Neurospora crassa OR74A: one gene and its partner. The protein of the gene in region 2 interacts with the protein of the main gene of each other region in a biochemical or structural test. Links are inferred from orthologs where the notes say so. Each region holds a gene or a part of one and is shown on either strand. Other genes may lie near its edges.

Region 1 (3,705 bases), on a different chromosome or scaffold from region 2:
AAAAAGATTAACGCCTTCAGCGCCGCCGTAGAATCTTGGTATCGTGTTCCGAGAAAATGAAACCCAATTGTAAACACCAATTGAATGAAATCCGAAACTGAAAGCTGTGAATATTATGCTCGTTTTGGCGGCCTGACCCAGGTTGCTATGTTGTCGTGCCCTTTCTCAAGCTACTCTCATCGTACACCAAACTACTTCACCTCTTGTCGGCACCCGGAGGCCCTTGACCAGGGGCGCCAAAAGGTGGCATACCGGGGAACGCACCTGGCGCACCGGGAGGGGGGAAGGGAAAGTTTCCTGCTCCAGGTGGGGGGAAGGGTAGACCTCCTGGGGGCGGGAATGGCAGACCACCAGGACCGGGCATCGGAGGCGGTACGCCAGGTATACCAGCAGGAGCGCCAGGCATACCAGGAAATGGGGGCATTGGAGGCATTCCGCGAGCTCCTGGCGCTCCAGGAGGAGGAATACCGCCGGGCACGCCTGGGGCACCAAAGGCTCCGGGAGGGGGCACCGGCGCGCCACCGGGCATGCCTGGGAACGGAGGAGGCATGCCGCCAGGGAAAGGCGGGAAGGGGGGAACGCCGGCGCCCGGGGGCGGGAAGCCGAGGCCGGGAGGGACTCCGCCGGGTTGGTTCTGCGGGAGCATAGGATTGGCGTGGGCTTGGCCTTCGGCGGCGTACGAGGAGGTAATCGAATCGATAACGGATTGGGCCTTCTCGTGACCAATCTCTGTAAAACAAAATCGCATTAGTTATGCGGTGAAGTCGGAAATGGTGGATTGGGGGCTTATTGTGCCGTACGTTGGTAGTAGTCAACAACGTTTCGTAAATGGTTACGACCGCTGTTGTGCGCCTTGCGGACGCTCATGGAATCGTGCGTGAGGTACACATCGCAGTAGTCGCAAAAGACTGTACAAGATGTCGTCAGCATCGAGTTGAAGATGAGCGGTCCAAGCAGTACTCACATTTTGGCATTTTGGTAGATTGTGATCGCGAAACCTTTCAAGACGGGGTTATTCGAAATCTCTGTGGCTGCCCTCGGAGAAAGTCGCAAGTTGGATGGCAACAATGATACGGCGCGCGACAACGACGAAGACAAAAGAAGGTTTGCAAGGCTGAAGTGCACTGGACACACACAATGGGACGCGATGACCAAAGCGGGACCAGGTTGGTCCTCGAGGTGCTTGGCAATAGTGGATCCTCTAAGGCTTCCCCAAAAAAGAGCTCCCCTGATCGGTTCGCGGCTGCTGATTGGCACAACAAGGGCACTCCTGCTGTCAAGCCGTTGTGGACATGCTCCAGACCTGTCTCAGCTGTCCTTAAGTTGCCTGCCCAAAGAGAAGCCGCCAGATTTCCCCTAGATCCAAGTCGCGGAGCTATTCCCATTAATACAGACAGCCCACCTTCCGCGATACGATCAGGTCACGCACTGCATAGCTTCGCCGGACTGTGTTGACAACTCGACGACACTTTCAAACTTTTTTTGTCCCGGCCGCCGTCCCACGTTCTAGATCATCCTATCAATCAGCGATCATGGCATCCCTAAAGTCGCTGCTGAGCGGCTTCCTGCTGCTCGCCGGTGCCGCCCAAGCTCTCAAGTTCGACCTTGAGGCTACCTCTTCACACCACAGCAACCAGCGACGATGCATACGGAACTTTGTCAACAAGGACACATTGGTGGTTGTAACGGCTACGCTTGACGGATACAAGGGCGATGGCATGAACGTCAACATGCACGTAGGTGCTCTCCCTCCTGGGTGCAAGTTAAAGGGGCTAGGGGATGGATTATGGGGCGGTCAATTACATGGACGAGTCTGACTTTGGACGCGACACAGATCTCCGATAGCCACGGAAACGAGTACGGCAAGGCCAAGGATATTGCTGGCGAGCAGCGCATCGTCTTCACCTCGCATCACGACGCAGCCTTCGACGTGTGCTTCGAGAACTACCTTACTGGTTGTACGTACATTCCTTGGCCATGACGAAAATTAGCAAAACAACCAGCAAAAGCTCGGATGGGAAACTGACAAGATTGCGATGATCAGCCAAGTATGTCGAGAACCCCCGCCGCCACGTCGAGCTCGATATCGACATTGGTGCCGATGCCAAGGACTGGTCCGCCATCCAGGCCACCGAGAAGCTTAAGCCACTTGAAACCGATCTGCGCCGCATCGAGGAGCTGGTCGGCGAGGTTGTTAACGAAATGGATTACTTGCGCGCTCGTGAGCAGAAGCTCCGTGATACCAATGAGAGCACCAACAACCGTGTTAAGTGGTTTGGCATGGCCACCACTTTCCTCCTCATTGCTCTCTGGGGGTGGCAGATTATGTACCTCAGGGCGTACTTCAGGTTCGTTTTCCCATCTAGCGGAGCAAATGGGTTCAGTTACTAACATAAATCTGCTTAGATCTAAGCATCTTATTTAATGGGCTGGGCGCAACCTACGATGACGACCCACAACTACCACTGTCCAAACTACCTTATTTATTATACGGCTTCATGGTAACGACGGGCGGGAGGTTTTATGAACTCTTTACTACACGCAACGCAGGCGAGCGAATGGCATACAATAGGTTGGAGATTTCTGGTGTAACTATATACGGTAATGTGTTTCAACCAAAAAGTTATGGAGTAAAAAGGAGAATTGACTGCATGCTGAGTGAGCCGTCTACTTTTGGAAGTTCAAGACTATTTGAGAGCGAAAATCTGCCCGGTGCATACCAAGAGAAGTCGCATCCAAAAGGCGTTATGGGCGTCGTGGGCGTTGTTGTGGTGATGAGTCGAAACATGAGCAATTGGCGATAGAGGCACTGGAGACGGTGGCGATGTCATGGATTGACAACGGAGATGCGGAGGGATGAACCGGAACCGGCAACAATTTTTCGGCCTCGGCCCCCATTGTATGATCACTTGCCAAGCCCGCCGAACTAGTGTAAGGGACGGGGTATTGTAGCGTCTGTAATCGGCCCCGAACGGAATCCTACAACAATTCCCATCACTTCGACATCCTCATTTATAAGCCGGAGCAGTTACCTAGTTCGCGCAACGGCACCCTCTCCACACTATCCGCTTCATCCGAGCGATTTACACACCTAACCTTGGCCGTCGCTCTATTTCGGCTACAACAATCCGTCTTCAGTCAGTTCGCCAAAAGCACCTAGACAAATCGTCGCAACAATGGCTTCCTCTCTTCGCGCCCTCCGGCCCGCGGCCGCCACCTTTGCGCGCGCTGCCGCTGTGCGCCCCGCCTCCGTCGCCAGCAGACACGTCATTGCCTTTTCGCGATCGGCCAGCAACGACAGCACAGATAACCAGCAAAAGAAGGACCTCGACGTCGGCGAACTGCAAGGCGCCACCTTCAAGATCGAGCCGCTCCGGAGAGTCGGCGAGGACCCCGCCACCATGCGGGCGCGTCTCCTTTGTACGTTTTATCTCTCCCTTCGCTAATCCTTATCTTCATCACCTACATGTAAACCCAACGAACTAACTCCCCTTCCTCTCCTTCTAGACCAATCTCGCAAACGCGGCACCCTCGAATCCGACCTGATCCTCTCCACTTTCGCCGCCGCCCACCTCGGCTCCATGACGCCCGAACAACTGAAGCAATACGACTTGTTTCTTGACGAAAACGACTGGGACATTTACTACTGGGCCACGCAAGAACCCCCCTTGCCCGGCCAGGAGAACCAACATCTCCAACAAAACT
Region 2 (3,016 bases):
GTGGCAGGATTGCCGGTGCGGACGCAAACAGGGAGGAGAAGAACAAGGTCACGGGCTTGTATCTGCTGCTGCTGTTGACGCAGGGACAGTATGCCGAGTTCCATAGCGAGCTGGAGGCGCTGAGCACGAGGCTGGGTGGCGCGACGCGCGAGCTGGAGGCGGATAGATATCTCGGGTATCCCATCAAGCTGGAGAGGTGGCTGATGGAGGGGAGCTATGATCGTGTGTGGAAGGCAATGAAGAAGGGCGAGGTTCCTTGTGAGGAGTATGGAGTTTTTTCCGAGGTTCGTGGGTTTTCTTTTATTGCGTCTTGCTTTCTCTACCTTTTCCCCCTAGGTCCTTCTCTCTCGCTCTCCCCCAAGCAACGATATCACGATTAACTATCTGTACCACATCAATCACTAACCACCGCATCTTACTGTCAACAGATCCTCACTTTCCAAATCCGCTCCGAAATCGCCTCCTCCTCCGAGCGCGCCTACCCCTCGCTTCCCATCTCCTCCACCAAGTCGCTCCTCTTCCTCGAGTCCGAGGGCGAAGTGGTCGAGTTCGCCCGCTCCCGCGGCTGGGTACTCAAGGACGGCCACATCTACTTCCCGTCTGCTGAGCCGACGACGGAGGAGGCCGGTGCCGAGCAGGAGAAGCCCTTCAGCCGGTTGATCATTGAGAATACGCTGGGCTATGCTAGGGAGTTGGAGACGATCGTCTAAACAGTAGAAAAACAACAAAGTGGCTGGCCGGTGTGGTATGGGTTGGGTTGGGTTGGTTTATGCAAGCGTTCTTAAACGATGGTCCTTAGAGATCTAGCTACATAGGCAGAACAGAGGCCACGTACAGATACACTACTTAACATTGTGTTCCATGTGTCGCCTATATGTATACAAAAACATGATACATAATATTACGGCTTGCGTCTGGCATGGTATTATCTAACTGACAATTCATGCGACCACGACTTTCTGTTCGGATTATAGCACACGAACTTACTTGGTAGCAGGCAGTAATTGTTATGCAACAGGCGCGTCCAAAATGGTTTTGTCTTTCCTTTTCTCTTCTCCCCTGTTCTTCCTGCAGAAGAAAGCAAGAAACGCGATCATTATACCTACTTTGACTGTACTTTAACTACTACTTTACTTGTCATCAAAACCCCCATCATCGTGTAGCGCCAACCGCATACAAACCCACCCCTTTTAAGCAAACAGCTTCAGGCCACTACCGTGCTTTCCGACCTCGCAAACCTCGCAGACTGTGCACACCGTGCCCTTGTACTTGGTGTGGTACTTGGCTCCGTCAAATGCGCACTCCTCGTAAGGGGTACCGCTGTAGATGGGCGTGAAGCTGGCAGCGCAGATCTCAAACTCGGCAAACTGATCGAACTCGATCTCCACGGCGTCATGGGGGTTGCGCTCGCATTGCGCCTTGGTTCTCTTGGCCTGTTATTTTCAAATATGTCAGTGTCTCTACCAAAGGAGCAAAAGGATAAGGTTATGTAGGTTATCACTTACACTCTCGGTGATCTTGGTGGCTCCTCCGTTGGCCAATATCCTGTTAGCGAAGCTAAGGGCAGAGCTGTAGTTCTTGCTCCGCACAGCCAGGTTCATTGCGTTAAGCAAGGCAAGCTGGCGATGGGGAACCTCGATCTTGGGAATGGTGAAGTAGGCCGACAGTTCCAAGCTCCGCTTCTGGAGCGAGGGATCGCTGTTGACCTGGTCCGGAGAACCGAGTTGCCTGCGGGCCAGCTCAATGGACATGGCAACCGAGTACTCGCAGGCTGAAGCGATGAGCTTCTTGGCCTCAGCCACCTCCCCATCACTGCCTACAGCGTTGACAAGGACGGAGTGCAGAATGCCCTTAAAGATCTTGACACCATCCTCGAGCTTGTTCGCCCTCATCGCGTCATAACCGCGCTGCAGGTCATTAGAAGCAAGGTACTCGAGGTCCCTGGGGATGATAGGGAGAACCTTCCTGGGATCCGTCTCCTCGGGATTCCTGCGGACGTAGTTGACGAGAGGGTCCAGGCTAGCCGCGGCGGGGAGATAAGTCTTGGATGCCTGGTAAACCTCCAAGAAGCGAGGCTTGAGCGGAGCAAAGTTGACAGCGCCAACCTGGCGGTTGAGCAGCTGCATTGCCGACTCAAAGGAACCACCAGCGACGTGATCAACTGCGAGCGGTGAGTTCCGGGACCACAGATCCGCTTCACTGCTTGCAGCACCGCCGGCATCCGCGCTTTCCACGTTGACGAAGCCCTCCTCGACTTCCGGAACAATGTCATCGCCCATGTCCCAGCCCGCAGCATCCTCGTCCTCATCGCCTTCAGCAAGAGCACCGGCCTTCTTGGTCGCAGGCTCATCGGCACCGCCCTCTTCAAGACCTAAACCGTTGGGAGCGGCAGAGGGCTGGTCTTCCAGAGACAAGCCCTCAACCTCGCCAAGCAGGGCCTTTTCGAAGAAGGACTGCGAGGCCGCCTTTGTTGGCCAGTTAGCCTTGTATGTGGGAACCACGGGCTTGGGCGGTGTAAGGGGTTCACCCAGGGTGGGCATCGAAAGCTGGTCTTCTGTGAGACCAGTAGCCTCGAGGATTTCCTGGCACTCGTCTTCAAGCCCGTGAGACTTGGCAGTCATGTAGGCCAGGGGGTACAAATCGATTTCCTTGAACATCTGGATTCGGTCCTGGACCTCTCCCAGATAAAGGGCGTTCTGGAATCTCGAAGTGAAGTCACCACGGTGCTCAGCAATCTTGGCCATCCTCGAGAGCTTGTCATGATCGCCGGTGGTGAGGTAGAGGAACGAAAGCTTGTCAAAGTGTTTGAGCTTCTGGTAACACATCTCCACGATCTGGTGGTTACCATGGGCGAGGGCCTCCTGGCTAAGTCTCGTCCAGAGCTTGGGCTTGTCTAGTTGCTTGGCCATCTCAACAGCGACCTCGAGATTACCGCACTCAATGGCAAGCTCGAACCTGGTAGTAGGATCCTGGACGAACTGGAGCGCAATCTCAGGGTAGCCCTTCTTCTGAAGGT

What was found.
Region 1: the proteins of NCU10066 (region 2) and NCU01342 form a complex in vitro, tested with the Saccharomyces cerevisiae proteins (2 studies listed by BioGRID, with this or other methods). The link is inferred for Neurospora crassa OR74A from reciprocal best matches to the Saccharomyces cerevisiae genes COP1 and ERV25.

The regions. Positions count from the first base shown.
Region 1 is NC_026505.1:3,710,336-3,714,040, forward strand, and holds NCU01342 (endoplasmic reticulum vesicle protein 25), read left to right. Parts: upstream 1-1,395; 5' UTR 1,396-1,532; coding exon 1,533-1,736; intron 1,737-1,834; coding exon 1,835-1,958; intron 1,959-2,044; coding exon 2,045-2,348; intron 2,349-2,406; coding exon 2,407-2,425; 3' UTR 2,426-2,997; downstream 2,998-3,705. Other genes in the region: NCU01341 (U1 small nuclear ribonucleoprotein C), read right to left, coding at 197-729, 801-908, 965-974; NCU01343 (TPR repeat protein), read left to right, coding at 3,177-3,420, 3,508-3,705.
Region 2 is NC_026507.1:2,811,690-2,814,705, forward strand, and holds the end of NCU10066 (coatomer alpha subunit), read right to left. Parts: coding exon 1,506-3,016; intron 1,434-1,505; coding exon 1,191-1,433; 3' UTR 778-1,190; downstream 1-777. Other genes in the region: rpn-12 (26S proteasome non-ATPase regulatory subunit 8), read left to right, coding at 1-284, 429-710. UniProt on the Saccharomyces cerevisiae protein: The coatomer is a cytosolic protein complex that binds to dilysine motifs and reversibly associates with Golgi non-clathrin-coated vesicles, which further mediate biosynthetic protein transport from the ER, via the Golgi up to the trans Golgi network.